Danio rerio: one gene and its partner. The protein of the gene in region 2 binds, or shares a complex with, the protein of the main gene of each other region. Links are inferred from orthologs where the notes say so. Each region holds a gene or a part of one and is shown on either strand. Other genes may lie near its edges.

Region 1 (4,070 bases), on a different chromosome or scaffold from region 2:
ACTTTGAGCATCTTTTTTACATGATTGTATGGTTGATCAACAGATCTCAGGATTGTGTTTCGCAGATTGTAAATTGCCTACAGAGAGATCCGGTTGCCTTGTCATATCAGCTTGCCTTGCCATATTTATGTTTGTTGAACAACTAAGTTGATCAAATGTTAAGCTGAACAAAGTAACATAGTTACACCGTTCTTCCTCAGATTCCTTTTGTAACAAATGACGTCCTTTTGAAAGTAAAAATAAATAACCTGCCTGAAATTCTGTCTTGGTTGAAATTCTGTAGCCCCTTTTTGTATTAGTTTAAAAAAAAATGCAAATTATGTTGTGTATTTTTTCCAAATATTTTGCTATAAAATATTGTTTTGGGAAACTTTTTTATTTAGACATATTTAAGATTTGAATACTAGCTATGTTTTTGGAGCAGGGAATTTCAAATTGGGCTCAAAACACAATAGACACATTTAATAGACTCACTGATATGAAAGAAAGAAAAACATAAAACTGGATTAAAATCCAACAATTTTAAATATAAATCAAGTATTTGATTTTAATATAATTCACCCCCAAAAAATCAATTCTGTCATTTATTCAACATTGACTTTTTCCCAACCTTTTTTTGTTCTGTTGAACAAAAAAAAAGATATACTGAAGAAAAGCACCTGGAGGAAACCCACGTTAACATGAGGAGAACACGCAAACTCCACATAGAAACGCCAACTGACTCAACCGAGACTCGACCCAGTGACAACCTTGCTGTGTGGCAATCATGCTACCCACTGCATCACCGCATCGCCTGATATCCATAGTATGGAAAACTAATTCTATGAAATTCAATGGTAACAGGTTTTCAACATTCTTCTTCTTTTTGTGTTTAACAAAACCAGTCTAACGGGCTTGGAACAAGTAAAGATGAGTAAAGTACTGTCATTTTGGTGTGAATTATTTATTAAAAAGGAATGACAAACAGATTATTCCAAGGTAACTATTGTATTAAATTTGTGTGAATAAATAAATAAATGTACTATTAGTGAAATGCATGCAATAATGCCTTAAATAATATTTTGGACCAAACATAACTAGTTTTCCACAATATAATCTTTATATCCACAATATGATATTTCTTCAAGAAATTATACATTTTGTCATGCTTTGTGTCAGACGTCAACAAATAAACGCTTGTACCATCGGTGTACTACCGTCCCAGTTAAATGCGTTGTGTACCTTACGGGCCCCCGTAGAAATGACGAGCGTGTGATGATGTAATATATGTGTGACGGCTGAAGTCAGCCTGTAGTCCGGTCTCTTGTTTCTCCTGCAGAATGGTACGTAAACACAATACTGTTTTGTAAACGTTTAATTGTTTAATTAATAGAAATAGCATTCGGTTATCTGCGATAATACAGAAAAGAGCTTCGCACATTAAAATGAGAATAAAGAAAGCAGCATAAAGCTGTCATGTCACCGCCCAGTCACTTCAGCAGTTTACTAGTCTGGACTAAAACAAATGGTTTATTTTTCGAGCTTAATGTCTAAAACTGATTGCAGCTACGTTGTTTTACAGGGGACCCAGGTGAAAGACGTGACCATTAAGCCTGATGCTCCTAACACTCTCTTCCTAGACAAGCATGCAGACTATATTGCAGCTTATGGTTCAAAGAAGGATGATTATGTAAGTTAATGGCTTAAAAAATAAATATATAAATAATAATAATAATATGTATTGCTGATTAATTCCCAATTATTTTGCTCTAGGAGTACACACTGTCAGAGTATCTGAGAATGAGTGGCATCTACTGGGGTCTTACCGTGATGGACCTGATGGGTCAACTGTCCCGAATGAACCGAGAGGAGATTATAGAGTTCATCAAATCCTGCCAGCACGACTGCGGAGGCATCAGCGCAAGCATCGGTCATGACCCTCATCTCCTTTACACTTTAAGTGCTATACAGGTGAGTGGGAAAACTGCTAAACCCGAAGGACAACCAACAATCATATTTGATAAATGACTGTAGAAAATCCATCCATTGAAAATAAAACATGTTTTTTTCTCTTTAGATTCTGTCCTTGTATGATAGTGTTAATGCCATTGATGTGGATAAAGTGGTGGAATATGTTAAAGGACTGCAGCAAGAGGATGGCTCGTTTGCAGGGGACAAATGGGGTATTTAAATAGTTTTTTAATCAGTCTTTGTGTGAAAAAAAAAGTTATAATTTTAGTAAGGCTGCAAAATATATTATTTCAACATCGTTATGTGCAAATGTGAAAGTCACATTGCAGAATATATGTTTTACTGACAATTCTAGCTTACCCAATTCACCTGTACCCTGTCTTTGGACTTGTGGGGGAAACTGGAGCATCCGGAGGAAACCCACGCAAACACAGGGAGAACATGCAAACTCCACACAGAAGTGCCAACTGACCCAAGCAGCCGGCAACTTTGTTGCTGTGAAGCAGTTGTGCTACCCATTATGCCATTGTGCTGCACCTTCTTTAAACATATTTTTAAAAATGGTGATTTATGTTTTAATATGGAAATTATTCATAAAATTACTTTGCCTTTTCAGTAATATTTATTTTTATATGTATTGTAATAAAAAAAGGAGTTGCATCATAAAATGTCTTTTCTGTACCGTATAAAGTACAATTTTTACAAAGGTACAAAACTGTTCCTCAAGGAACATTATTTATACCAACGTGCACCTTTTTTCTGAGAGTGTAGACTCTCCAGAAAATCATAAATCAGTTTATTTCATTTGTATCTTTGTTTTATTTGAGTAATTTATGCTTTGAATTTGTTTATTATTTTTAATGCAGATTCACTCCCCTACAAAATCATTACAATCAATGTAAAATTATGAGTTCTTTTCTTATAGAGTTATCTTGTTAACTTCTATTTATATCGCAGAACTTCAAAATATTGCAAAGCCAGTTTTATTTCAATGTCATGCCCTAATTATTAGTGATTTTTTTTCCTTTTCTATTCTTTAATAGGTGAAATAGATACACGTTTTTCCTTTTGTGCAGTTGCAACTTTAGCACTACTGGTATGAATTACTTTATTTCCAAATATTTCATCTCAATACCTTTTAATAATGTTTCTTGGAATCTTTCTAGATTTTATGCTTCTAACAAGACAAATTTCTGTGTAGGGCAAACTGGATGTGATCAACGTAGACAAGGCCGTAGAGTTTGTGATGTCCTGTATGAACTTTGACGGTGGGTTTGGTTGCAGGCCTGGTTCAGAGTCTCATGCTGGTCAGGTGAGATATTTGAGCTGTGTTGTGCCCTTATTTGGTATATTTGGGATGCCCTGCAGTGCCAGAAATAAACCTTTCTATTAAGTAGCGATGTTTGTCAGCATGAATTATTTTAAAGATAATTTTGTTAACCGTATATAGGCAATTAAAAAAAAAATTACATGTTAATTATCTGATTTCATGTTTTTATAGCTTTTTAATAAAGCACTTTAATACACTTGAATGAAACCAAGTACTTCAAATAACTTGTTAATCTGTTACCAATAAAAACAAAAGGTTTTAGAAAGGGAAGTTAAATTATACATGTAAAAGAAGTAAATACAGAATGTGCAGTATTATGACCAAAAGCTTTATTGTTGATTATTGAAATGATGGTTATTAATAGTGAATATTATAATGCATAAAAAAACATTTTTGTTTTTAGGAAGAAAGCATTTTAAATTCTGTCTATAGACAAAACCTGTTGGTCTATGTAATGAATCTAGCATAGAATAGTTTTAAATTTATTTATGTTTTAAAAAAACCACAACAACATTATTATAACAAAGATATAACTAATTCCTTACTTAGATTACTTGCTGGAAGGGCATCCGCTGCATAAAAAATGTGCAGGATAAGTTAGCGGTTCATTCCACTGGGGCAACCCTGGATTAATAAAGGGACTATGCTGAAAAGAAAATGAATGAATGATTGCTTTAAAACATTAATTACAACGTTAACATTTAAAACATTACCCACAATATTAAACATTATTTACAAAATACTTTAAAAAACAAAACTTTTCAGCTGTTTCTAGTCTAACACCATTGAT
Region 2 (4,378 bases):
TTCCTAAGTGGGCAGTTTGATTAAACAGAAGTGTGGTTGACCTGGAGTTACATTGAGTTGTTTAAGTGTTCCCTTTATTTTGAGCAGTATATAAACTATGTCCTTGTACAAAAAGCTAAACAGATGCATTTTTTTTTATCTTAGAATTTAGGTTTCTTGTATGAAGATGATTACAGTTTGTGGTAGATGTAAAAAAAATAGAAATGTCTGGCTAACAGTTTACTGCATGCAGGTAAATTTGATAAAAAAAAAACTAATATTCCTTATGTAAAATTATGAAAATAAAGTAGCATTAGCAGAATAGTATCCTTTTTGGTTTTCCTTTTTCTAAAATTAGACAATACATCTAATAAAAGCACCAACAAGAAAGATAGAGTGATGAAATGCTGACATAAAAGAAAGAAAGAAGGAGAATTTCTAAAAATACCATAGATGTGCATGCATTAGAAAGCACATGTAGATATAATGGACAATGTGTTTCCTCTAGGATTTTTTCCAGCTGTGGCGGCAGGCCTTTTTTTTTTACAGGTATACCAAATACCAGTGATGTTTTTTTCAATGACAAATGTCGTGAGTGCAGTATTACAGGTCGAGATTGCATTTATGTAATAGCCTACAGCATGCAGATCTCTTTGCTTGCGCGCCGATTTCCTCTGCTCGTGCACAAAACCTCTTGTGCGATCTCAAATAAACGCTGCTGTGGTGCGATTGAGTGTGTTTATGTAACGAGTATGTCTCCAGCATTTATTAGATTTGCTACGAATATTTATGAATGTCTCTAATAGACCTACAGAGCGATATTAATGCGTTCTCAAGTAAAATGAAATGGCTATACGTCGTGTTTGCTGGCCTCACCATGCACCTGTCAGTCAGTCAGTCAGTCAGTCTGTCTGTCAACACGTAACCTTAACGGGGTAAACAAATAATGCACAGCATTACTACGGTTACAGAGAAGTTTGCACTCTTATAAATCAGTCATCTTTTAATACGTGTTGATGCGATTATTACCCGCTATTAAAAAAATTTAATGTTTTGAATGAGAAGCTGTACTGTAGCCGTGGCGGGATGAATTTTGTCATGACGCCCCACCATGGAAGAATGAATGTAGAGGAAACCATGGAACTGTACCTGACATTCCACGCAGTGGTAAAATCTGGATTCAACAGAAGCAATGTGCTGGTTATATCCACCAGAGCTTGAAAAGAAGAAGAAAGAAATATCAGGGATTTTTTTTTCTCCAATGATGCAAAGTATTTAATAAAATACCATACTAATAAATGCTATACCATGCAAGGTGTTCAAAAAAGCAAGCTAACCCAATAATCTTTCATCCTACCTTCCCGGTCGAGCCACTGCTTTCTCTGCCTGTAGAGCAGGAGTTTATTATGCACATAAGGCAGCAGAAACTTGACACACCAGCTCTCCACTCCCAGCTTATTCTCCACCAGGACGATGGGGCTTCTGTTGTACCGGGCTTCAGGACACGGAATGAGGCCAATTTCATCACTGTGAATTCAAGATAAAAAGATGCTGGCTATTTTTGGATATACTAAATACTAAGGAGCTGATGGCAAACAGGGATGCATAACATCTCAGCTGACACATAGTCGCTTTAGATGCACCTCTCTGGCATAAATACAAGGGTGCCATAAGAGAAGGAAGTAATTAAACCATTGGCACAAGACACTGACCTTTTAATATGAAACAAACAGACAAAACGAAGACAAAATTAACAACTACAATTGAAAACAGAACATCCTAAAAAATTTTTTGTAGTGGACTAGAAACATGCCAGACAGTATGGATTAACATTTGAAATAATCTACTATGAAAATGTGTGTATAGAATTGTGGAGTCTGAATCAAAAGTCAGATCTTTAAAAGTCATACATGAACACTTGCATTAAATCAGGTACCTTTGAAAGTGTTCACATTTATGCTAAAAAAGTGAAGTTGTCAAAATAAACAAATAAACAACACATGCTTAGCTTCATTACAAAACCTAAATTATGTGGTAAATGATTTTATGAAAACTATATTTCGTATTTGCTCATATACCTTTCATTTCAAAAGCAAAAGGGCATATCTAATCTAAAACAAGAATAAAATTTTCTTAATTTCATTTTTAATTTGTGCGGCAAATCAGAAGTCATAACTGGACAGCTCTGATATGAGAAATAAAATTGGTGGTTACATTAATATCCACAAACCTGTGTATCAGTTTCCCGATAATGCTCGTTGTAACGTTAGATGTTGACTTAAGTGATTTGTCTGGGTACATTAAGATGCAAGATGTTGCAACAACATATTAAATCACTCCATATAACGTCACCAGTACGTAAACATGGACAATTCTTGAGATTATGCAAATAAATATATAAGGTGAACGATTATCTAATTACTAACTTAACCAGAGAATAACACTGACAGTACTAGCTACAGCATGACAAACATGCACATACTTTGACGTTTCGGTGAGAAAAACTTTTGGCGTTCGCACGGAGATGTTAAACAACACAAGTTTCTCCAGGCACGGTGTAAATGCAGTGCTGAAGAGCTCTGGTCTACAGTCTGCTGCTGGCCTGCGCCAAGCGCCAGCGGGTTAGAGCTGGTTAATAGCCAGTTAGCCAGAGCCAATGCCTGCGCAAGTTACAGACAGACGGCTGCTGCTCTATGTTCTCCCGGCGACTTACAGCGAGGGTCTGGACGAGCTGTTTAGACTAAACTAGAACACTGCGCAATGAATAACAATGCGAGTTCATATACGTACATGTTCGGGTTTCTTTTAAAGGCGTTAGTGATATCTTTCACAACTCTCTGGACCAAGACATCCACCTCCTCTTCCGACTCAGCCATTTTCAGAGCTCGAGTGACGTCAGCGCGGGTGACTCAACCTCATCCGGGACATTTCACAGTAACCGTACCATAACCTGACCATAACGCGTTTAAGGGAAAATACAGGATTTCAACAAAAAAAATCAAATCGCTTCAAATGTGAAAACCATGTTGGACAGCGTTAATACAAGATATTAGTTGGATAATCTCCTATATAAATATGCAATCCTAAACAAAGCAAAGGAAATCAATTTGAAAATTTTAATAACACGTTAACCGGTCAATGCATTTACCTCAAATATTTACTGATATTGCAGATACTTGTTCTTTCTGTCGGGAAACTGAGGAAACTGTGACACACATGTAAAATCTCATATTCTACATAAATAATAAACCACAATAAACAAAACAACGCTTCAAATTGAAATAAATTAAATGTTATTATTCTAGTCTCAAAAATAAAAATGAGGAATATCAGAATTATTAGCCCCCCTGTTTTCCCCAATTTCTGTTTAACGGAGAGATTTTTTTCAACACATTTCTAAACATAATAGTTTTAAAAACTAATCCATAATAACTGATTTCGTTCATATTTGCCATGATGACAGTACATAATATTTTACTAGATATTTTTTAACACACTTCTATGCAGCTTAAATTGACATTTAGGTTTAACTAGGTTAATTAGGTTAACTAGGCAGGCTAGGGTAATCAGGCAAGTTATTGTATGACAATGGTTTGTTCTGTAGACTATCAGAAAAATAATATATAGCTTAAAGGGGCTAATGATTTTGACCTTAAAATGTAAAAAAAAAAAAAAAATACTGTGAAAATTTCCTTGCTCTGTTAAACATAATTTGGAAAATATAAAAAAAAAAAACACAAATTCTAATGGGGGCTAATAATAATAATAATAATAGTAATAATAATAATAATTTTTTTACTTTTTTTTTTTTTTTACTTTTTTATATATATATGAAATTCTTTATTTACAAACAAAAACATCTTAAATCCTCTACCTCATTTGCTAATTTTTTAATTGAAATTGATTCCTTGCTTAAAGCTATGCATTTTTCTAACAACAAAAATTCTGCAAGTTAATGGAAACTTATGAATATGTAAGGCTTCCAGTAAGTTAGTCTCGGTTGCTTTCTGTTTTTATTCAATTTTGTACTTCCCCGTTCTTTATTTTGTTCTCTTTTTTTATTTTTTTATTTCTTATTTGGATACTTATTGTTCTTATCACCTTGTAACTGTAAGTTGTACCTTTCTCTTACAGATCACTTCCTAATTTACATTGTACATTTCTTCTTTTCTAAATAAAAGTAAAAAAAAAAAAAAAATACAGGTTATGTTTATTCATCATTAATTTTGTTTCTAATTCATTGTTGTAGTCAGAGTAAAGCAACACAGATGTAGGCTAATCTGATTGAGAATTATTTTATGATTTATTTACAAAACAATAAGCAATTCACAGACCTGTATTTCACTGAAAAAAATAAAATAAAATCTATGTAATGTGTATATTCATTAACTGTTAAGAC

Evidence for each region. The genes of interacting proteins can lie anywhere in the genome.
Region 1: the proteins of ptar1 (region 2) and rabggtb are in contact, whole or in part, in a crystal structure (PDB 6O60), measured with the Homo sapiens proteins. The link is inferred for Danio rerio from reciprocal best matches to the Homo sapiens genes PTAR1 and RABGGTB. Residues at the interface, in NP_001093136.1 of Homo sapiens: Val61, Lys62, Leu65, Pro66, His69, Leu73, Arg76, Leu97, Asn98, Asp100, Phe101, Thr102, Thr103, Asn106, Lys109, Glu110, Leu113, Ile141, Arg144, Trp145, Pro192, Ser193, Tyr195, Ser199, Ile202, Trp203, Gln206, Val231, Ser232, His234; in NP_004573.2 of Homo sapiens: Lys6, Asp36, Tyr37, Cys40, Met41, Glu43, Tyr44, Ile89, Gly90, His91, Asp92, Asp136, Trp138, Glu140, Phe177, Asp178, Gly182, Cys183, Arg184, Pro185, Gly186, Ser187, Glu188, Ser189, His190, Gln193, Trp217, Glu221, Arg222, Pro225.

What each region holds. Positions count from the first base shown.
Region 1 is NC_133177.1:29,805,203-29,809,272, reverse strand, and holds the start of rabggtb (geranylgeranyl transferase type-2 subunit beta), read left to right. Parts: upstream 1-1,261; 5' UTR 1,262-1,319; coding exon 1,320-1,322; intron 1,323-1,561; coding exon 1,562-1,669; intron 1,670-1,752; coding exon 1,753-1,950; intron 1,951-2,056; coding exon 2,057-2,162; intron 2,163-2,993; coding exon 2,994-3,046; intron 3,047-3,151; coding exon 3,152-3,262; intron 3,263-4,070. UniProt on the Homo sapiens protein: Catalyzes the transfer of a geranylgeranyl moiety from geranylgeranyl diphosphate to both cysteines of Rab proteins with the C-terminal sequence -XXCC, -XCXC and -CCXX, such as RAB1A, RAB3A, RAB5A and RAB7A.
Region 2 is NC_133180.1:56,713,420-56,717,797, reverse strand, and holds the start of ptar1 (protein prenyltransferase alpha subunit repeat-containing protein 1), read right to left. Parts: upstream 2,875-4,378; 5' UTR 2,856-2,874; coding exon 2,770-2,855; intron 1,507-2,769; coding exon 1,337-1,506; intron 1,196-1,336; coding exon 1,129-1,195; intron 1-1,128.